Linked DNA regions of Lepisosteus oculatus. The protein of the gene in region 2 purifies or fractionates together with the protein of the main gene of each other region. This does not show direct contact. Links are inferred from orthologs where the notes say so. Each region holds a gene or a part of one and is shown on either strand. Other genes may lie near its edges.

The links. The genes of interacting proteins can lie anywhere in the genome.
Region 1: the proteins of prkaa1 (region 2) and pars2 purify together in Homo sapiens (affinity purification with mass spectrometry; 3 studies listed by BioGRID and IntAct, with this or other methods). This does not show direct contact. The link is inferred for Lepisosteus oculatus from reciprocal best matches to the Homo sapiens genes PRKAA1 and PARS2.
Region 3: the proteins of prkaa1 (region 2) and usp10 purify together in Homo sapiens (affinity purification with western blotting; 3 studies listed by BioGRID). This does not show direct contact. The link is inferred for Lepisosteus oculatus from reciprocal best matches to the Homo sapiens genes PRKAA1 and USP10.

The regions. Positions count from the first base shown.
Region 1 is NC_090704.1:16,908,756-16,916,562, forward strand, and holds pars2 (probable proline--tRNA ligase, mitochondrial), read right to left. Parts: upstream 3,757-7,807; 5' UTR 3,624-3,756; exon of another isoform or gene 3,495-3,623; intron 2,665-3,494; 5' UTR 2,641-2,664; coding exon 2,041-2,640; intron 1,756-2,040; coding exon 874-1,755; 3' UTR 513-873; downstream 1-512. UniProt on the Homo sapiens protein: Mitochondrial aminoacyl-tRNA synthetase that catalyzes the specific attachment of the proline amino acid (aa) to the homologous transfer RNA (tRNA), further participating in protein synthesis.
Region 2 is NC_090698.1:23,871,964-23,880,531, forward strand, and holds the start of prkaa1 (5'-AMP-activated protein kinase catalytic subunit alpha-1), read right to left. Parts: upstream 3,338-8,568; 5' UTR 3,285-3,337; coding exon 3,188-3,284; intron 1-3,187. Other genes in the region: rpl37 (large ribosomal subunit protein eL37), read right to left, coding at 6,084-6,153, 8,012-8,096. UniProt on the Homo sapiens protein: Catalytic subunit of AMP-activated protein kinase (AMPK), an energy sensor protein kinase that plays a key role in regulating cellular energy metabolism.
Region 3 is NC_090715.1:10,018,311-10,026,069, reverse strand, and holds the start of usp10 (ubiquitin carboxyl-terminal hydrolase 10), read right to left. Parts: upstream 3,757-7,759; 5' UTR 3,509-3,756; coding exon 3,488-3,508; intron 1-3,487. Other genes in the region: marveld3 (MARVEL domain-containing protein 3), read left to right, coding at 6,961-7,232, 7,584-7,693. UniProt on the Homo sapiens protein: Hydrolase that can remove conjugated ubiquitin from target proteins such as p53/TP53, RPS2/us5, RPS3/us3, RPS10/eS10, BECN1, SNX3 and CFTR.

The DNA.
Region 1 (7,807 bases), on a different chromosome or scaffold from region 2:
GGGTGGCGGACTGGACCGTGCTGGTCTGGCGTCTCCTTCCCGCCCCGTGGACTGAGGCGACAAAGGAAAAGGTCCCTCCTCTGCCGAGTAAGCCACCGTTGGGTAGCCCTTATAAGGGCTGTGACCACGAGTGGCGCTAAGGAGCCTTTCTGGCCCCTGGTGGCTGCTGCTCGCCCCCAAAAAGCGCTTTAGGGGGTCATTCGGCTGCTGGGGGAACCGGCGCTTCTCCGAGTCCGACATCAACAGCTGCTCACTGTCCATCCTCCCGCTTCTGACACCTATGTAGTATTTTCGGGTTCACTTGTTGAGTGAAAACCAGCGCTTTATTGAATTCCATACTACCCCTCACTGCGTACCCCAGCCAGGCACTCTTCAGCCACAGCACCTGGCGAATGCGCTACAATATTCTGTTTTGATTAAATCATTATGAAATGTATAAAAATGTATCTTACTTTGGTCTGCAGTAGCTCTGATACATTGCAAACATTTAATTCAAAACACATTCAAAAACATTTATTGTTTTAAGTATTTATTAAGGCTTCAAGGCAGAAAGGAAGATTGTAAATCCTCTATGGAACAGTAAAATACCACATTCAAAACATAAAACAAACAGGAAAAAACAGACCAAAACATAAATTTCAGAACCAAAAGCATTAAATTACCTTTGTCTGGCAGGTTCATAAAATTAGAACTTGTGTTGGATCCCCCCTGAATAAAACAGTCAACTCCTATGATGTGTCATAAAGAATGAGCATTGAACCTTCTGACTTGGCAAGAGAGATGTAACAACAAAATCAGAGGTTTTATTCATTTTCATTCTGGAATAACCAATAACTGACCACCAGCTATAGCAGGACAATCAGTTTGCTGGTGTCAAACAATTTCCACACCTCTAATGTAGTCTACCACACCTTCTATAGGGAGAAACAAGGTCTCCCCAGTGTTCTGGCTGCACACCTCAAATGTTGGCAGATCCTCCAAGGCACTCTTCCCAGTGACAATCACATAGGGGTACCCCAACCTACTCGCATCTTTCAGTCTTCTACCAATGGTCAGGTGCGTCCGGTCATCCAAGACCACCTCCCCTCGCAAACTAGGGACTGCCTCCACCAGAACCTTGAAGAGGTTCTGTGCCAGTTCTCCTGCCTCATCTGCTTTACTGCCCTTCTTTGGTGGAAGGATGCATATCTGGTAGGGTGCCAGCAAGGCAGGCCAACGGATGCTGTCCTCAGAGGAAAGCACTTCTATAGATGCAGCCAGGATGCGGGTTATCCCCAGCCCAAAGCATCCCATTTCTGCAATTACAGGTTTATTTTGCATGTTGTTATAGGAGGCACTAAAGATGTAGGAGTACTTAGTTCCTAGATAGAAGGTATGCCCCACCTCAATGCCCTTTGTCTCTGATAGTGTGCCCCCTTTGCACTCTGGGCAGTATCTCAGTCCTTGATCTATCGTCTCCATGTTGGCAGAAAAACCACAATCGCCACAGATCAGCAGTCTGTCTTCGCCAATCTCTGCAGGAATCTGGAACTCATGCGAAAGTTTGCCCCCAATATGACCTGTGTCAGCCTGCACCTTGACACAGCGCAGACCCAAGCGGGCAAACAGGCGGGTGTAAGCTTCGCACACAGCCTGGTAGGTGCGGTGGGCGGCTTCCTCACATGTATCAAAGGAATACATGTCTTTCATGTAGAACTCCCGCCCACGCAGCAGCCCAAACCGCGGCTTTGGCTCATCACGGAACTTTCGCGTCACCTGCAGGGATAGGCATGAGGTCACAACACATGATGGCCATAACAGAACATCATCAACATCACAGCTGAGAATCTACAGACTAGAACGGGTTCTATTCTGTCACAATTTCATATAAAGTTAACAAGGCTCATGCACCACTTGCATAACAGCAAGAGGGCATCATAAGGCAAATACAAATAATGAAACTATCATACAAACTGCAAATAATGACTTACATATACAGCCACGACTATATATTCATATGGATTCCCTAGCCCCTCAATCAACAGCACTCCGTGACTGTACCTGGTAGAGCAGCAGGGGGAGCTGCCTGTAGGAGAGGGTGCCATGTGCGGCAAGCAGCTCGGTAATGGCCTCCTCATGTGTGGGCCCCAGACAATACTCCGCACCATGCCTGTCCTGCAACCGGAACAACTCTTTGCCCATGAGATCCCAGCGCTCACTGCGCCTCCACAGGTCAGCTGCACAAAGACTGGGCATGTCCAGCTTCTGCCCACCTATGCCCTGCATCTCTCTATCGATCAGCCGCACCAGCTTCTCCATGGCACGCACAGTCACCGGGAGGAGATAGTAACAGCCGGGGTTGGATGGGTGGATAAAGCCTGACTGCAGCATGAGACGCTGGCTCTTACAGGCCATGCTCTCCCCCTGTCGGCCCCCAAGCCCCAGCCCCAGTTCTCTGTCCCTCTCCTCACGCAGGTTGGCTGGCTGAAAGAGCTTGGATACCAGCAGAGGTCTGGCACTGCTAGTCATATTTCTCATGTTGGTTCTTTGCATGCTCAGGAACAGGCACACACAGCCACGTTGGGGCCACGTGGACTGAGGCAGAGTCCGAGTCAGGCAGTACCGTAGCTTGCCAGGACATCGCCGAAACAGAACTTCCATTATACACACAAAATTATCCACACGCTGGGAAAGAAAGAAAATTGTTTGGTTTAATAGCATTTCATCTTCATCATTAGGGCTATGTTCAGCTGACACTTAACTGTACGAGTGGAAAAAAACTACTGGAACCTGTACTTTAAGAAAAGTAACAGTTATTAAAGTTTCATATTTGAAGGGCATTTGCTCAATTTACCAGTGATTCTGTATTTTAAAGCTTTGATATTATAGATGCACATAAACCTAAATTGAACAATAATATAAGCTTAGTAAATGAGTCAATGTATGAGACAGTATTACACGAGCCAAAGCTCAACATATAGATCAGTGTGCTGAATATAGATTCTATCTAAAAAGCTTAATAGTATCTGAAAGACTACACTAAATGTAAAACACTCCTGCAGTGATATTCAATCGATCCAAATCATTTTCAACATTACAAAGAAATAGTTTTTACTGATCATTCATGTTACCGTTCAGGTTTTTTCATCTCGTCTTTTTTGGTCAGTGTGCTAGGGTAAACTAAACACTTTGAAATAACAGCAGTTTTTTTTTTAATTTATTGCTATTTGTTTTTTAAAAAGTTATCGTTTTTCACAAAATTACGGAGCCCTAATTCACAGATCATTCACAACAGGACTCTAAGGTCACCACGACACATCGCGAGTGTTAAATATTTGAAATAATTAAACACACACATAAAGTGCAGTATATATCACCGCGTAAACTAAATCGACATGACTTCCTTACTATAAAAGCCGAGACATTGTGTATATACTGTACACGTGAAGAGTTCAATAAAACTGGTAACTAACCCATACGATAACAATAAAAAACACTTTAAGAATTAAACTTACCAAACCAAGTGGGGGATACAACAAAAAACAGATTGCACACAGTTATACTATTTAAAATACCAATAAGCTGCATACAATATTTCCTCAGTATCTATGGGACACTTTCGTTAAAATCACTGGCAAACCCACCCCAGCCACAAGTTGGTACAACCACCAACAATACAACGAGCACCGAATAGGGACAAAATAGTTGGCGTAATGTTAGAACGCATTTTTCTAGCCATCCTTTTGAGAGTAGAGCTTCACGCTACTGTAACTCTATGCTAGCAACATTCAAACTTCCGGTCTAAGAAACGTATTTCCGGAACATATGATATTATGCAGCTGTGAAAATGCAATTTTTTCCCTAAAGAGCAAAATAATAAAATAAATATTTATTATATATTTATTATATTATTAACACCATTACAACTTTAAATTTTATCCACCCCTATGACTACTCAAAATGTATTATTCAGTCAGAATATAAACAGCAGGTACCAAAAGGGATTTATTCATGTAGAGCTTCCTCTAAAAGTTGTTTCCCAGAATGAGGGATTAGACTTCGGTACAATTTTACTTGTTATAGCCCTGCATTTTGGGACAGTATTGGGGGATTTTTAAATTCATAAAGAACTATGAAGCAAATGTTAGATTATGAAATTTCTGTATTTGTCCAAAACGTTAAAAGAGGAGAAAGGTTTTCACAATAACACCAAACCTGTTCAGATAAAAAAAAAATCTATATCTGTAGTTTTACTCCAAGCATCCCTGTGAGTATTTAACTCTGAAAACACAGATTGCTATTTTCAGAGGTGCTGGTAGATTTTCAATGGTAAAGCCTCTGACAGAGACATTCATTTCAGTACCGCAATGTTCTGTAAAGCGCATTTAATGAAACAAGCCAAGTGAACTGTGTAGGAAACAATTAAGTGGTAAAACTGGTCATAAGCATGGACTGTATATATTCAGTCTTTTCCTCAATTCTACAATCCTAAAGCAATTATCTGAATTTCTTTATGACACTTGTGTTATCTTGGGAAACAAATGTAAGTGTTTTAGTAAATAAATGCCTATCAAACGTAAAAGGCAGACTAAAAAGTATAAACATTTCTAGTGAAACAGTTTAAAATATACAGTGCATGAGAATTCTAAAGATTTGAGAACTGTAAACTTGACATTACATTGATTTTATTAACAAAAAGCTGCAGCTTTTTCTTCATAGCAGTGATCTTGTCAGACACGTCAAAAATTGTTACAGAGAGCCCCTGCCGTCCCATATTCAGCTCATTCAAATGTGAGAATATACAGCTGGTAAAATTATATTACAATTTTATATATGTTTATATATAATATTATGTAATTATATAATATTATATAATCATAATTGGGTCATCAAATAGACTTGCCAAGGGAAATTGCTGGTCATGCAAAAACAACTGTACCTCAGAGTGCAGTTCAAAGAGCCTCTTGAGCACTTTGCCACTTGATTACCATCTCACTTCAGTATGTAGCACTTCACTGCCCATTTCATTACAAAGCACACTGAACACTGATACAATTCACAACTTTAACAGTAGAGTCTAACACAGATTTTAAATCCTCAGTCATTTTCCTGACAGCCAAAGCTTCGCAGTGGATGATGCAGTGCGTCCACTTCATATCTGGAGCAACCTCTGTAATTATTGCAACTACTCCTGCTGTGTCAACCTGGAATTGCTCTAGCACAAACATTGCATTACTCTAGTACAAACTCTGACGCATTTTTCCAGTCGACGCCATTCTCTTAGATAAATTCATTCAGATGCTGATAGATGTGTTCTCCTGAAGCTCTTGGCGTCTATTCTTTTCAGCCATGACATATTACTTGATTTTTGCGAGGTATTCATTTTCGATTAAATGTTCTGTTGGCGAATGTGGTGCTGTTGGAGAAATTTGTCCCCTTTTCCTCTTAAAAGACGGGAGAGTCTGTCCCAAAAGTTAAAAGAAGGTTTTATTTCATACGCATGGAGCGAAACACAAGAGATGCTCGGTGTACTTTTCTCAAATTGACAAAGAACAGTCCTTAAATATTTTTCTGTTATCTATCAACCTTTCCTGTGCTTACAAGATTAGCACTATTCCAAAGTCACGCACATTCTCCTACCTTTCTATTTGCTAAAGGTAATTTATTTTAATACAATTGGTCACTTAGGTTCGTAGCATGCATTCCTATACAATGGTATAGAATTACATAGTATCTCTTGTTCCACTCAAGTATTAGCACACGCTGCATCTTTGTAGCTAACTACTTGACACATAACTGTCACGATCCTCCTCTTAAGGGCGCTCCAGCCCTTCCTTGTTCTGTCCTATTCCCCACAACTGATCCTTATTCCGGCCCCTCTTTAGTTCCACCTTTAAAGCCAGACGCAGGCGTTTGCCCGGCGCTTCTCATTGAATCCCGTTTCGTGAGAGCCCGGGGTCCTGCCGCATCTGGCTCCGTTATGGTTTTAGTTTCCTGTTCCTGATTCCTTGTCCCGCCGGTCCCGACCCGGTTCTGTTTTTTAACTACTTTGGATGGATCCCCTGGTGTTGGACTCTGCTTCCCATTTTGGATTTCCCTGTTGGATTTATGCTTGGATTGTTTGCCCGGACTCACTTCCCCTGGACACCTGCTCACCTCGGACACGCCCCCCTGTCTCCTGACCCACTCCTGCATGATATTTTTCCCTATTGTTTCTTTACCTTCTGGATCGTGTCATCCGCATAGGGCCTGGATAGAACTGTTCCTGACAATAACTACATAACTGCGTATTTGATACATAAACTAATTACTTTATTAAAATACAAAATATTAAAACCCGTCCCAATTTTTCAGTGCACACAACAAATTTCAAGGGACATCTGGCGTACCACCTGGGGATGCTCTGCGTACAACCAGTGGTACGCGTTCCAGTTTGAGAACCATGGAGTTAAGTTATCTAACTTCCCAACATCACTTAACTCTTGATTTGAAACTGTATTAATGCAGAAAAAAACACAGTTTGTAGTTGTACAGGTTTCCACGAGGTTGTATACAGTACATGTCCTGATATACTTGTCCTGTTTTTGCCTAGAGTGCAGCATGACACTGTCTTTTGAACAACGGTAGGCACTGCATGGACTGTTTACCATAGGATATGTGATGGACAACAGCAGTACAATTTGAACTCCATTGTCTGCCATTCAGGAAAATACATCTCTAAAGAGGGTCAATTTTGGTCCATATTGAAAAATAAGAATCATTCCAAAATTTTTGCAAGCAATTTGGAAATTTTAGATCTAATGAGGAAGAAACAAGTGGAGTATATTACTTTTTTGAAAGGTCCATATCATTTCAGGACAACAGCAAGGATAATAAATTACCATTCATCTTTCTCGTTATCATTTGCAAATGAAGATTTGTAAATGGCCAGATGCCCTATTCATAAACACTCTTCAACAACTAGAAGAAGAAAAATATGTTCCAGCCTTGTTTCTTTCAGTTATAGCCCATGGTTTCTCTGCCATGGTTGAAATTGATACATTTAAAAATAATCTTTCTGCATGTTTTCTTGCAGATGACCTTTTATATGCCAGCAAGTGTCCGTCTTTTTCTTGCATACAGTAAGTGTCCATCTTTTCGAAGCAGCAAGATGGAAGTAGTGTGAACTATATGTCTCCCAGTTTGTCAAAAATATTATTTTGGCAAATGTGGATTGCTCTGCATCTCCAGAAAATGAGAGACACTATATTATTTGAATTACAGTCTCAGGATGTTAAATTGATCACCTAGAAAACAAATAGATACAGATAAAACATTCTTATCAACATATTTTCCAAATCACAAATAAATCAAGAATTATACAGTATCAACAGAGACTGCAACTTAGGTGATCACTGCCATTACTTGTTTGTTTTCCCTTTTATCATATTGTTGTTATCCCTTTTAGGTTTTTTAGAATTAATCTGGATCATGAACAGAAGACCCAAGATAAAGAAAAAACCTGCTCTCCAGACCTGTTCTATATTGTGTCCTGAAATTGAAGAGGATAAAGCATTGTACACCACAATAAATGTTATCTGTAACCTTTACTTTTAATTTCAGATTAGTTTATTGAATTCCGCATATTTCAAATATGTTTCATGTCTGCTGTACCAAAGTTACACCATTGCGACATAAATGTGGCAGACCTGAGACAAGATTCTATTCTTGGGGGCCTTGTATTTTACCCCCTTTGTTTTTGCAGCAATGGCACTTATATGGGTGACTGGGTGTGTTTGAAGCCCAGCAATGGTAAGTTTGTAAAATGATTCAGAGACCATAGTATTAA
Region 2 (8,568 bases):
CAGGTTGATCATTACTATTCAAAAAGGTAAAGGTAAAAAAGGTGTTGGACTCTTTCATGTTGTTGGATAATGCCCCACTAAACTGCCTAACACTTTGATCCATCCACAATCAACAGGAAGGAGCCTAAATCCACCCTGGACGGGACACCAGTCCATCGCAGACCAGACACAGATGCACACACTCATATCAATTTTCCCAGAAACCAATTATCCTGTCCAAAAACTTTTGTTAAAAGTCCCTTTGTAAATCTTAATGCTGTAGCACAAGCTAACTGTAGTAGTACATTGTACACCACAACTTACAGCATAAAAAACAGTCAGAAGCATTATCTTCAGTCTTTCAGCTGTCCTTGGTAAGCAAAACAGATATTCTTTAAAGGAATACAAAAACCCTATTGTGATTACTTTTTAATAATGACTAGGTGATGATGCAATCCCCAAGACCATGATAAATCTTCCTTGGATTAATCATTTAGGTTAATGCGCACAATTCATAAGGATTCAAGTGATAGTGTGAGCAGAGTAGGGGAATGCAATATGTAATTCTCCAAAAACATAGGCTATATACAGTATAAAACATTTTGAAACAGTGCATATTCATTATGACTAAGCTCTACTTAGGTTTCCCACCCTAAATTATAATTAAGTTGCTTGTTATATGCTAATTAACGTGTTTAATATAAGTGCTTGAGAAAGTTTTACGTAATGAGAATGTTCTAGTATTCAGGCCGATTGCTTTTAAACCAAAGCCAGTAGGCTACTTGGGATTAAAGAGCACCTCAGTTTTCACAAATCATCAGCAGCAGCACAAGTTAATGCTTCTCTGTTGATTATGTTGGGTGGCCTTCCATTTCTGCTGTTAGAATAACTGCTAACATCGCACAGTAATGTTGCCTCTTCAAAACAGCGTACAGGAAAAACATAAATATAAGTAAGACTTGGTCTTAAATATCTAAAACTATATGACATAAGGATGCAAAAACTGCCAGTAGAACACAAGCAGAAAAACCGAAGGCCATCTTTCCTGAAAACAACCCATTAGCCTAGCCTCATTTCATTCTTTCAAATCTACCAGTTTTAATGATTAAGTCATAATAATTTGTAAAAAAAACACTGAAAATTAACTGTCACACATTTAAGCCTAATTTTGAAAGTAAGTAATATTCTGCAGGGTTGTGCTCTGGGGTAAAATAAAAATAGACTTCACTGAAACAAATACAGGACAAAGACTCGGTTTCTACAATTTGAACAACTCCACATGCAACTACAGTTTTCAACACATAAACTAGAAGAAAATATACCTTTTACGAGCCGTGAGACACAACACTGAAACTAACAGATAAAGTTGTGATTAACAATGTCTCAGGGTAGCCATGGAACTGCCAATGGCTCAGGGTTGCCTTGGAAACATTAGATATAGCCCCCAAAGTCATACATAAATAAGAGAGAATCAACAAAGCGTTCCAGTTCACTGGACAACTACACTGGACAGGTAGTAAGTCAAAGCACTGCAGAGCAATTCAATGCTTGCTGCATACATTACACACAGGCCTTCACTAAGATAAGAATTTTAAGTGCTGAGTACATTTTGCCATCTCAGTTACTTGAAAATAGAAACCTTTTGCTGTCAAGGACATGTATAGAGAATTTAATAACTGAACATAAAAACTGACTTTTTGCTCAATAATGTACCCATGTCCAGCTCAATTCATAATCAAGATTTACATTAAATAAAAACCAGGTCTATAGACCCCAACTGTAACAGCATAACCTAGAAACGCTTTTGGTAGTCCAGACAATATTCATTTGAAATATTCAAAAAGTTGTTATATGTAAATTGAGAGTTGGTTTTATAGAATGCAATGTTGGCACAAATGAGGTTTACAAACAACAGAAAATGCAACTTCTCCACCATTGCAGAAAGCAAAGACTTGGTTATAAACCTTTCAGAAGAGAGTGATTCATATTCTATTTATATTAAGTTTTAATAGTAAATGAACTGAGAAAACTTACATTGCATAAGACTGAAAGTTCCAGACTGATTTTTATTTCATTAGCCTTAGCATTGTCATATATGAAATCTTCATTCAAAGAACATTTATTCATTTAGACCTCTCATGTAGTTTTTGAAAGCTTTCATGGAAATTCAAGATTGTAAATATCAACTAGACGCTCCTGTAATGTTATCCTTTAATAGTTTGTCTATATTAATAAAAGTAAAGATTATCTTTAATATATTTTTCAATTAAACTTTTAATAACCTAGTGAACCAGAGATGGTCGTGTCGCTTAAACATTTCAAGAACCATCAATATTCCAACTCCTTATTATTTGGCATAAAACTTAACATCAAAAGTGAATGCTGGAATCCAAAGTAGACTTTATAACGGTATTCTTTGAAATTTTCATCAACTTGCAAATAACCACGAATTATAATCAAGTCTAATGTGAATACCCTATGCAGTGCTAGTTTAATCATACTTAACTTTGATTTCGACTGCAAAAATTAAAGAGGTTATAACAGTCTACACCGTCTGTAAAAAAAAATCATTAAAAACCGCGTTAGATGTCAAACTTCTTCTTCGGCTTCTGCACCTGTATTTTCCATTAGAAATCAATATTTTCCGTTACAGAGTGACACAAAGATGCTACCGCAACTGCTCACACCACATTTTGATTATTTTTAAGATAACATGAAATTAACAACCTCTAAAACACCTACAGAAATTAAAAGGGTTCAAAAGTTTATTAAATTTAAGTTACGCATCTAGCCAAAACTAAAAACAATTTTAACTTGAGGAGTGGCGTGGCTTACAAATCACAGCTTAGTTTTGTCACTGACACTGTTTTAACGATTGGGAACGTTCGACTAAAAATGACATAAATTAGCCATTACTGACTTCACAAGGCTGAGACATCAGCCACTTAGCAAGCTAACATTTCATTAGAGGACAGGCAAAAAGAGCAGTAATCAATCAACACACAACTCCGCCAACATGCACATGAAAACGGTGCTATTTTCTTCTGGGAGTTTGAAGTGAACATGCACAGCAACAGATACTGCAAATTGCAACATGCAATGTTGTTCAGCAACTCTTCTCAGTGCACATAGGACAGCTGACTACTGCCTTCCTGTTTTAACCGCCTTTCCCATCCAGATATCCTGACCATCACATCATCACACTTACTTTTAACTTTTCCAAAGGTTCCTACACCAAGCGTATCCCCAAGAATGTAGTGTCCAATCTTCACTCTCCCTTCATGCTTCTGTTTATCCGTCGCCATCTTCCCGCAGAAGCCCTACCTGCGCTGCTGCAGGCAGACGGACATGACGCTGCATAAACAGGAAAACGGAAGTGCACGACGTCGGAAGTGACGTAAGAAGAGAGGCAATGGTGTTATTTTTTTACATAGCCCTCGAATTTCAAGCGGCTTGAAGTTGGGCAACACTTTTGCGTTGGTGTTTAACAGTTTTGAGAGCACCTGCACTGAGAACAGAGCAGACATTTCATATTACAATACTCAAATATATACAATATTTGTTTTCTTATATATAAGTATAATTGTACGAATTTATATAAATGAGAAGTGAATCTTTAATCTTTTGCGCGTTTTCTTAATTGAGGTGGGACATATATATACACTTATTTTTTAATTCAGTATTTTGACTGCTTATTAGGACTGAAAGCGCTGTACAACAAACTAGAACAGAAGAAGAAAGTGAAAAAGAAAAAGCACAGCAAATTAATTTAGTGAAAGGAAGAATAAGACTGAATTACACATCAGAAGCTTTTGTGAAAAAATTAGCTTTAATAGAAATTTGAAAACGCTGACTGTCGCAGTCTGATGGTTTAATTAATGAGCTCCACAGACATGGCGCTGGACCACTGTATGTTGTATACCACAGTATATGGTATACTGTAAGTACTGTAAAGAGCCTGATCTCCTGAGAGAGAAGGCCAGAATCACCAAATCTACATGTGAGCTGACTGAAAAGGTACAGAGAGAAAGGTGATGTTGTATCTGAACTGCCACAGTGTTCAAGTTTTTGAATAAAAGGCAACTCAGAAATATGTCCCGGCCTGTTAACAAGGCGTGATAGCTACAGACTTTAAGCCTTTGTGACGGATGACAACGAGCTGCACTCCATGCAGGATCTGATGCTAACCCACCCTCTGCATTTTCTGTGATGTCACCTTTAAGGGTGCATCTCCTACCTTATAAGAGTGTGACAGTGGTTTTATCAGGGTTCCCACTCATTTTTACCAACAAAGTTCCAAAACTTTTCATTGACTTTTTTTCTGCATAATTTACATCTCGCACGTCCTGGGTCTTCATCTTTGTGGAGCTTGTATTTTTCATCTGCTAACCAGAGATCACTGAAAACACATTTTCTCATATTTGTATTTGGATCAGTTAGGTAATATTGAAATTCACCTTTCTTCCAGTGAAAGACAAAATTTCCACCGTGTGGAAAAACATTTCTGTATATACGATTTCTGTAAATAAGATGGCTTTATATTTTCGGTTTTAATTGTTTAACTTTTAACTATAAAAATCCTGCGAGAGGGTCTGATGCAACACTATAATGCATAATGTTAGCAACAGCAACGCCACATCCTCTTTTTAAAAGTGTGCTAACTTGTGAACAAAATTATATGATACAGCCATGATCATATTGGGTCAATTAAAAATAAATCCTTGACTTTTCCAAAACTTATCATTTTTCAAAATCTTTCCAGGCGTGGAAAATAAAATGTCATTTTTCCATAACTTGTGAACAAAATTATATGATACAGCCATGATCATATTGGGTCAATTAAAAAAAAATCCTTGACTTTTCCAAAACTTATCATTTTTCAAAATCTTTCCAGGCGTGGAAAATAAAATGTCATTTTCCATAACGTATCCAGGATTTCCATGACCGTGGGTTTTTTGTACTTTCAGAAACAACTGGTGCAGAGCTGTTCAGGACTGCCCCTTCTTAATGAAAATTTCCAAACCCCTAGCAATCTTCTAGTGTGACATTCATAGGTCTACCTGCAGCCAAAATAGTCAGGTAGGTGAAGACTGATACAGCATTAAATCACACTTATTTATTATTTACAGAAATGTGTTTTATGTATGGGTAGATCATTCTTTGCTCATGCAGAAGCTATGAAAGCAAATTTTTGTCTCCCCTTCACCCATTTTTCTTTGCTTTTCATAAGAAAAAATGGGTTAAAGATGGAAACTATTTTATAAGTATTAGTGAGGTCAGACCTTTAAAATAAAATTTTAAAACCCTCATTACCAGTCCAGGAAATGTCTTTGTTCCTTTAAGAACAGAAACTACACAAAACATGAAGACATTTCCCTCCTCCAGCTTTAACTGCTAGTAGTTCCCAGAAACTCCTAGTTTTAAGAATGTTGTCATCAGATTCACCATCACAGCCAAACAGCTCATATTAAGTCTTAACAACCAATTATGATGTACCTCCTAGCCTGAACCTTGGATGCGTTTCATTTTGTGGTCCAGGATATGCTTCACTGATGATCTTGCAAAAGCCAATTGCCTTAACAGTTTGAATACTCCCTCAGTTACAGGCTCAATCTGGCCCAAAACCAAATGCGTCACAAAATGCACTTGGGTTCTTGCATTTTTGTCTGCTGCTCTATTTCCTTAAGGAATCTTCAATGCATCTAATAGAAAAGCACATTTTTATCAATCCAATCAGAAGTAATAGACTTGAAATTTGTTGATTGGGAAGCTGAATTATTGTCGAATCGATGCCTTTGTATGTCGTAATAATTCCTCACACTTGTAAAGCTTGTTTCTGGACACTCATCTCAATGTCATTTTTGCCTACACCATGGCACAATATAGTAACCGTTATCAGAGAATCATTCATTGTTGCCTACTCCTTAAGGACATATTCATAAAGAGGGCTATTTACAAATTCAAGATTTTCAAGATCTATAGCCCAATTTACTCATAATATTTACTGATAATCATGAATCCCCATTGAGTTTCCTCTTTGTAACCAGAGAAGAAAAAAACAACACAATCACTTTGAAACAGCATATTTATTTTAAACAGTCTGTCTAACTGGAGCTGGAAGCTGCTACTGCAGCTCTTTTAGGTTTTGGGGTTGTTCCCTCGCGGAATCCGTTTCTGAAAGAAAACAGCACAGCATAATGTTACTACAAAGTTGGCACACATTAGCATCACTGCAAAAATCCTCAAGACCTTTAGTGTTCTATGACTTTCTCTTATGATGAAAACCTAATTTACTTTATTCCTCATATTTTGTAACTTCTAAGGGTATTGCTGCACTCTGCTCCTTGAGATGTACAGCAACACTTTAACCAAAATCCAGATATCAAGTTCCTTTCTAGAGGAAAACCTACTTTTTCAACCTTCAACTGTACGTATTCTCCTAGAAGAGAAACATGACTATACACTGAATCAGAAACTAACCAACAGAAGATGTTTTACTATCATGAAGCAAATATCAAAACATAATGGAAGAGCTGAATTAACATGAAAGTATATTTTTTTTAAGTATTAACTTCAACAGTTACAACAGGGAATTAAGTATTACTAGATGTGAAATAATGGCTTAATGTATATATAGGGTTATAAGCTTAGATAATTATCCAGCAGTGCTTGAGATATTTCTTTGCAAGAAATCATAAGTGCCACTTAGATGTAAAGCAAGATGCTGCTCCAGTGTCTCAGATAACCGCGTCACATTACAAAGTGACACCAGGCGGAGCAATGTGCATGTCCCCGGCCTTAAACCCAGTAGCCTACCTCTCTTAAAGACAAGAGCTGTGGCCAAGTCTCAACAAGCCAATGTGATTACACATGCAGACTATTACAGCTTACCTCAGTAAAAATCTGAAATCACAGTAAAGTCATTTGTTCAGACATTTATTTTTGGACATCATTGATAAGCTGTTTAGAACTGCAGCGGTCTTAAGTTATTTTTTTGCAACAAAAAGTCACGGGACAGATACGCACATGAAATGTCATCAGTAACATGTTCGTAAAAGAGTACTAGTATGTTTAGTACTATGTTTAGTGCGATAAAAATGGTAAAATGTTACTCAACCACTTATAGCTTTTTAGCTACATGTCATAAAAAGTTTGCATCTGATTGGCAAAAGAACAGGAAAAGGGTCAAGATTCTACATACATATCCATCATGCTTTAAAACTGACCCTTAAGTCTAAGTGAATGCATAAAATCTTGCAACTTCTAATTGTTACATTTCCTACATTAAATTGACTAAGGCATAAAACATGATGCCACCAAAAAGTAAAATCTATGCATTAAAATATGGCCAGTGATCAACAATCATCAGTGATGGAAATGAATGGCTGCTCTGCAATTCTGTATACTGACTTACATTTGTTTCATTCTTATCCTGCTCTTTTCTTGACAGCAGAAGCTTGACCTCTCAGATGTCACAAACCTACAGCAAGCTCTTACTTTCTATCTACAGCACAATCACTTGTTATGCAAGATAAACAAATTAATTTCTCACAAAATGAAACCTATGCAACTCCACAGGTCTTCTTAAATGTTTAGTTTGCAACTCATACTTAAGAAATTTAGTGATAAGCAAATTAGATGCCTTACCATCAACAAAGCCCTAGATGCCTCGATTAACAGTAACTGTCTGCTATTTTTCCAGTTTATCCATAGCTAGCAATATGAAAACACTACTGGTTGTGAGAAGTATTTCTTTTAAACTGGACTTAAAAGCTAGATTTAGTATTTAAAATATCAGCTCCAGCAGATGATTGTCGTTTTAAACCATCTAGCAAAGTGCAGATTATAAGGCTACTTCAAACGGAATTACATTTACAATTTAACTACCATGTTAAATTTTCGTGTTAAAATTCCTGATAGCTACTGAACAATTAACATGACCCACTTAAAAATTTAGCAGAACATGCTTCTTCGGAACCACTCTGTGCTTGATGTCACCCTTGTTCTCATTTTAAAAGCAAACAATCCTCACCTGAACCTGCGGTACACAACCTTCAGATGCCTCATGCGTCCTGTTCCAGTGGTATTGCGCCTCTTGGCCTTGGCACTCCAGTTGTCTGCAAGATAAGAGGAAATTTTCCAAAGGTCTTAATATCTACTCTTAACCCCATGAAACAATTTTTTCAAGATACAACGTAGGACAATGTGAAGACAATGTACTCCTTTCCAGCGTCCGTCTCTTCAAATGAGCTGTACAGCCAGCTTTGATTAAGGTGGCGTTCCCATCACCAGCAATTGACGAACTATCCTGTCAAATGGCAGTTGTGCAAAAGGGACAAAGAGAATCCAGAATGGTTTTACAGAGGCTGGATAACTGGTTCTCTCGCTAGACTCAAACAGGGTGATACGTGAAAGATTACAGCTGATTTATGTCAAATTGTTAATGTACATATAACTAGAGGCCATCATGGACAACTTCTCCCATCCCCTCTATGACAGGCTTGCAGGAATGAAGAGCACGTTCAGCAATAGACTGATTCATCCACGGTGCGACAGGGAGCGCTACAGGAGGTCATTCTTGCCGTCTGC
Region 3 (7,759 bases), on a different chromosome or scaffold from region 2:
GAGGGGGCTTGGAATAGGAAACAAGGTAGATTTTACACTACAGACAGGAAGAAACCACCACACCTTTACGATTCTCATGATCCAATGCTTTCACAAGGACAGAAGTCACTACTAAAACTCTGCTTCAGTCTTTTGATCCTGCTTCCTTAATCTTAAGAAACCACTGCCCCTCACGTCATGTGACATTAATCCTGTATTACAAGTGCCCTGTTAAGATTCATCCACCTACGCTAGTCTCCCCCAACTTGAGTCACAAGTCATTAACAGAAATGTATCACTGCATACCAACCTGAGGAATCTCCAAAGTAAGCATTCAAGGTTAGAGACCCAAATCCTCAGCTATCTTTCTTACATTGTGAGCACCTGCTATGACAAGCATGCTTTGTTCAAGATTTCAAACGTGACTTGTGATGACCTGTTTGTATAGGATAGCACGAAAAACATAAGACTGGCTAATATTTTTTTTCTATTCACAAAGTGCAGTCATTGTACAGCACTCAGAATGGTACCCCTAAAAGACCATTATATACAACAAACCCACAACTAGTCTGTGCTTCACACAGTCACAAAGGTCATCTAAACACCAAAAAGAACCCAAAACATTTTTTGCAACACAGGCTCATCCTTGCATAGCATGATCAGTTTAAGTTCAGGTGGGTAGCTGCGTCAGCATGCGTAGGCTGCAAAGGAACAAGTAATAGGTTTATTCCATGCTGAAAAAAAGAAGAAAGAGAACACAACGTTTCGGCCGTGGAGCCTTCTTCAGGTGTGAGCCTTCACACCTGAAGAAGGCTCCACGGCCGAAACGTTGTGTTCTCTTTCTTCTTTTTTTCAGCATGGAATAAACCTATTACTTGTTCCATGATCAGTTTAATACTGAGCTATTTTGCACACTACTATATTTTGTCTTTGACTCTCTCTGCCAACAGCAGCAAAGTTGAATGAAAAACATACCGATCCACTACAACAAATCCACAACAGACAGTGTGAACTACAACGATAAGCTCTAAACTCCAGGCAAGTCTTCCCAATCCACATGGACTGTCATGGTGTCTGGTAGCATAATGCTGTATACACCATCATGCAATTAAAGACCATAAGCATTCTTTAACATCAAAAAGAAATACAGCAAATAAAAGGTAAGTCAAATAGAAATGTCATAGGCAAGCTGGAATACAAAACGAGCATTTATACAATTTAAATTTCTTTGCTGAGGTAAAACTTCCAAAAACTGGTAGGGCAACCTCGTTCGCTGTTTTAAACTTGGCAAAGCGAAAGGCAGATAATATCTATCAAGTTAGCGTACAGAGCGTTTTCCTTTATGTCCTGATAGCCAAACCGATGCAAGTACAGGAAATGACCAAAAGCATCTAGTTAAAAAGAAACATCCACAGTATCCACGCACGGGGGTATACTGTGTCCTTGAAAAGTCAGAAAATGCACAAAGCTTTTAACAATGCAGATTTTCTGAAGTGCATTGGTAGTTCCGAATCTATACATCTTAAACGTATTACACATTTTCTTCAAATACACCTCATCATGATCTCTTCACTGATATTAAATACGGATTCCCCCTGTGCTCTGAAAACTGAACACCCCACCGGTCTGGGCACAATTACTAAGTACGCGAAACATGCTAGGTTTATACTAATTAAGGACAACCGATTTAAACTCAAGTTAAAACTGCAGTAAACAAAAATAAGATTTTACGTCCTCCGTAAACGATTTACAATAAAGCAATGCATCCCTTTTTGTAAGTTTCAACAACTTGAGCGGCATCACGTGTCAAGTGTCCTGAATGGAAGCCGCACTCTGAAGTTTTAAAGCACTACACACCACCTCAGCGGCACAAACCGCCCAGCTTTCAAGCCGGGAGAGAAAAAAAAACACTAAACCACCTGTACGTTTCTCGTGATACTGAAAAAAAGTCAATGCAAATGTGTTCCTACGTCGAGCAGCTCACAGTGGTCTCAGTATAAAAATGCTGCCTGGTAGGGGGATGGGCGCCTATGATTCAGCTGAATTTCAATGTTCCCGTTACAACTCCTCGTAACGCGCTGCCCAAGTTGAAACTATAAACGCGAAGATGTAGCTAAGCAAAAGAAAGAGAAAGAACGATACATTAATAGCTTGCACTATCAAAATCATGCTATATTATACACGCCAAACTCGCAAGTATCCGAGAGCTTAAGTACACACCGCTTCCTGCATCTAGCAATTCCAAAAAAACACGCTTTCCTCAAACTTACGCTGGACACTCAAATGCCTACACTTTGTTGTCTACGACCTATCAGCATTTTGTGGTACAATTCTACTTCTCAAGACCGCCTGCTATCACAAATTCACCCTTCAACCCACGACTGCTCCGCCACCAAACCTAAGAAACCGCAGGTACCGAAACTTCTTAAAGGTCTTTCAGCTACTTCTCCCAAAGCTAGGAAAACCATGAGTATAGTTATCATCCGGTATTCCCACCAGAGTTAGCCAGCACTCCACATTATTCCTGCATGCTTCTAAATTTCTCTCCGATCACCGATTTTCGTGTCGTTTTCTTACAATATAAAAGCACAGCTAGAATAGTCTCTGCGCCTTAGGGGAAAAAAAGATAGGGGGCCCAAAATCTACGGCTACTCCTCAAATTTATTTCGGCTTCATAGGGTAACAGTGGAGGCAAGGCTGCGATGAGAATCTAAATGATGAACAGGCCCAAACACGTTACGCAGGCGTCCTTTTCAAAGTAAAGTGCATTTGCACTGAAGAGCGACAAACGAGTTATAAAAATGTCCATTGCAAGTCCCGTTGCGCTCTCCTTCATACAACACTGGATGAGTCTCCTAACACGGAAAAACAAGACCGCCCCCCCTCCCCGATCAACAGGCCCAATGCATGCCACCAGCGGATGCACCGTTTCACACTTTAAATGAATTAAAAACCGACTCCAGAGGGGGGGAGAAACCCCCAGTCAGGACAAAAACGGGTCGTGCACCACAACTCACTGACGGCGAGGGTGACTTTTACCCGAGCGCGCTGTTTGACACCGCGGAAGAAAGCGGCTCTCAGCTCGCCGAGGCCTGTTGCGGTGCAGGTTGGGCCGAGCACGCCAGCTAAACCATCTCGAAATGCAATGCAAAACCACCCGAGTGGGGCAAACATCCACGTGTTGAGATGCAACCGGGGCTGGGTCGACACGGCGGCACGGGTCGGATTTCTGAGCGCAGGACTTAAACCCGCTCTTCGGGAGCTCTCGTCTATGAATGAGTGAGGCTGCCTCTGGGCCTCGTCCATGCTGGGGTTTCAATGGGGGAAGCAGGCATCCCGTGCTCGGGGAAACTCGCCTTGCAATTTTTTTTTCGCCCACTTCTCAATGACAAAGCTGCACTTTGCAACAGCCAAAGCACTCACACGCATGCCAGCATGAGCCGTGGCGTCTCCGAGGCCCGCTGCAGTACCTACGACTCGGAACACCAGAGTGAAGAACAGTTTTTACCTGGCTGCTGTGTGAAGCCATGCTCCCGGCGAGTTTCTTTTCTTTTTTTACAATTAAAAAAGAAAATAAACTTCCTCTTCTCCAGGGATGAGCTGAAATGTGGTCTTTGACTTAAAAACAAATCAATTTCTACTGCGACATTTTCAATGTAGTTTCTTTTTTTTTAATCTAGAGTATATAACGTTAAGGTTGTATTCTCCTCCTCCTGCCCATCACGCTGCTAACCCCACCATGGCCGCCATCTTTGTCTCGCCTTGCTTCTGGCTTGCGCGCGCTTGAGAGCCTGACTGAGTCCGCGGTGAGCGCGTGCGCCCTGGGTGGGAGGCGGAGAAACGCGGGGACGCGCACCGCATTGCGCATGCCCAGCGCCAGCGGAGGCGAAAGGGCCCCTTACACCTACAGCACATGGGTACACGCTCGCGGTTTGGGAAATATATTGAAAGGGGAGACATGGCACACTTGTCTTTAATGCATGACTCTGCATGTTTTGTATTCAGGAACAATCATTTCTTCCTAAAATGACAGAGGAAATCTAAAATGACCACAAGCTAGCGGGACTGGTCCAAGCTAGCTGATGTTTTAGTAGATAATTCCTGCCAAGATTTAATCCAAACGTTTCTTGAAGCAAGCTAGGGTATCTGCATTAACAACACAACTGTTATTGTGCCACGGGAAACCCTTTGTGTAAATTCGTGCCTCCATTCCTCGGTTTCAAATACCCTTCCTAGCAGTTCCCACTTGTGATCCTGTCTTTTTTTCACTGTCGATTCTGAAAAAGTCCAATAGGCTGACTTTATCAACATCTTTTAAGAATTTGAATGTCTGAATCTGGTACTGCTCTACTCAAGACTTGACTTTTTCATTCTCTGGACTGACTCAAGAGCAGCAATAATGTTTTGCAATGTGACCAATAACCGTACAATGAATTGTACAATTGTAACATCACTTGATTTAAATTCTACAATAGTAACTGATTTCCCCCCTTTACATGATAGGCGTCCTGCTCCTGCAGTTGAAAATACCAGTGAGTTCAATTTTCCCAGCAGCAACTGGAATGGATGTGTTCACACAGTTTGGCTTCCTCATGAGTTGTGCAGATCACGGGGTTAAAGACCATTTTTTTCTGATGTTTTGTGAGATTCTTTCTGTGGAAATGTATGCAGTTTGGATCCACACCGATTTAGTGGTCAAAACCGAATTTTCTGTTTTGATGACGAGACAGAGACGTTTCTATAGAGTTTTTTTTTAATTGTGAACACCCTATCGGTTTACATTTTCATTGTTTTTTATTCATTGTTCATTAGCTGTAGCCATAAAATTATAGTTATACCTCACGAATATGATCAAATCGAAATCCATCGTGAAAACTAGAGGTTTAATAATGCCATTTGCAAGAGCGATTAAAACTGTTTCTGCAACATTGAACGTAGATTAACATACTTCTTATATTGCCTTATCAAATATTTGCTATTTAAAGTAAATACTAATTACTTCCTAAAACAGTGAGTCGCGCTGCGACCAGTTAAAAACGAGTTTTTAAAGGCGGGGTTCTCCGTTTGGGAAGTCAAGCTGTGAGCTCAGGTATGAGGTGTGTATGTGTATGTGTGTGTGGGATCGTGGTGTCGGAGCTACGCACAAAGTGTACCTTGAAAATTAATGGCGGATGTGAAACATCAAAATACAATAGTTGTGCACTGTCGATGGATTTAACCTGGTCACTCGAGGCAGATATGTCCATGTTTCGTCAACAACACGACGAAAAATAAAACAAAGTACCACAAAACCTCGCTTTCTTTGTTATGTTGCGTACTCGGAAGTTGTGGTATTTGTGATGCTGACTTGAAAACTTGAGTCCGAAAACCATTTAGGTCGAACTGAAGACCTCCAACTTCTTTATTTGACCTCTGAAAGATACACGAGTTATTTCTCAACTCAAGTCCTGTTTCGAGGGTTAGCGAATTACTGGGAAACTACTGACCGGTCAACCAGTTTCGGCTGAGAGGCGCATCAAACCGGGTTTCGGTAACCGGAGCTATTTGTACAACACAGCCCGGGATGGAGCACTGGAACTTCTTTTGCTGACTTCTGAGGGTAAGCTGTGCTCATAAATCAGTATAAAATACGCAAAATAAAAAATCGCAAAGTAATTGTATATACATACAGGGTGATGGTGGCCAAAACCAGTGAAACTCGTTACTAACCCTATTAGATGCAGGCGTAACTCTTTGCCTACTTTGACACTTTTAACAAGAATATTATGATTATGCAATGAAACAAGTAAAGGTTTATTCCACGCTGAAAACGTCACCCTTCACACCTGTAGGAGGCTCAACATCTTGAAACGTTGTTTCTTTTTATCTCTTTTCAGCATGGACTAAATCTTTACTTATTCTTTGTATCCTACGCATGCTGACGCAGCTATCTACTCGAACTACATATGATTATGGTCCAATGTGTAGATTACGTTTAGTTACGAAGAACTATGCTTAAAGTCTTTGTATTCACCTAGTAGAACTACACGCTGCTTTAATAATAGTATCCTTATATTTACATAGCGCTTTCTGGACACGCCACTCAAAGCTCTTTTCAGGTAATTGGGACTTCCACTTCTCAGTGAGGAGGAGAACAGTGTGATAAAGTCAGTTCAAACATGGGGATTATTAGGAGACCGTGATTGGTAAAGGCCGCTGGGAAATTAAGCCAGGTTATTGGGGGTGACACCCCTACTTTCCTCGAGAAACTCCCTGGGATGTTTAACAACCACAGAGAGGCAGGGGCTTGGTTTTAAGTTTCATCTGAAGGACAGCATCTTTTTTACAGTATAGTGTAAGCATCGCTATACTGGGGCATTAGGACCCACACAGACTGCAGTGTGAGCGCACCCTACTGGCCCCACTAACCCCTCTTCCAGCAGCAGCCTTAGCTTTCCCCGGAGGTGTCCAATCCAGGTACTGGCCAGTACCTGCTGAGCTTCAGTGGGCTATATTACCCTGCAGCTCACAACTAACTTTAAGCTCTAAGACCTGTTAAATTTGGCAAAGCATGAGCATGTTAGTTTTAAAAAGCATCAGCATTTAATAAAGTATTTGCACAGCACTGCAGCACTATGTAATATTTATATGCGAGTATAAAAATCACTCTCTGCATGTTTTTTTAAAAAAAACACATAGTATAGAACATGGATAATATGTATTTTTGGATATTACTTAAAGCATTCTGGCGTAATTATGATTTAGCATCCGTCATGACTGACTGTGGTACATTGATATCCTTCACCTGTGTCTTGGCTGCTCACTTAAGTGTTGGCACACCTGCCACGAAAATGATTTTGCCGTTTTCCTGCTACCACTGTGGGACTGTTGCAGCTACTGTATAAGTGGTGCGTTACTTTTGTTTTTCTCTCTGAGCTGTTCTCTGCCCCTTCATCGATCCACAGGGCATACAGTACATTCACGGAACTCACAGATCATAAGATGCCGGGAGGTGGGAGGAATCCTGGAAGAGATGAGGAGCCGCAGAGCAAGACGAGGAGCGAAAGTGGCACTCGCCGTGATATGGACAGACAGAGGGAGAGGTACCGGCACGCCAGAGACCAGAGACACCCGCAGTACTGGGATGACAGGGATCCTAGCTACCTGGAAAAGAGAGACCGGGATTATCCTGACAGACGGGAGGACAGGAATCCCCGCAGCTCCGGAGGGCCGCAACTTCAAAGGGACCAGCCTCCTTCCTACAGGGAAGAAAGGTAACGGAAAATTCACTCTTTTTTTCCTGAGGTGTCAAAACAAAACCACAGTGGGAAAACTCTGAAGATGGCTGAAGTGGTCTGAGTCTACACTCAGAGGCTGGAGCTGGTGGTGTAAACCTTTCGTCTGTTTCCTGACCCACAACTCTCCCCTCCCAGGTGTCTGGACTTTCTATAAAGATCCTAAATCTGTTGGTCCGACAGTGCTTTGGCCCAGTTCCTGTATATAAAGTGTACGAAAACATTATAACTTGGTTACCATTGCTCTGTTGTTCCTGCAGTAGCAGGTGAGGTAAGAGCCGGGCCTGTTTTCTTCTCTTCAGTGCTCATCGTTACTTACTTTAAACACAGGTCACATCAGGGACCCTCAGTGCCTCCAGATGAAATGAGTTATGATGAATCAGTGCCATCCAGTGGGCTTCGTGGCTGCTACAACTTCAAATATATTCCTACCTCTAGAGGTGAGTGTCATGATGAAGGCGATTTTTAAAAGAGAATCCATGATGCAAACTACTTTAAACCTCATT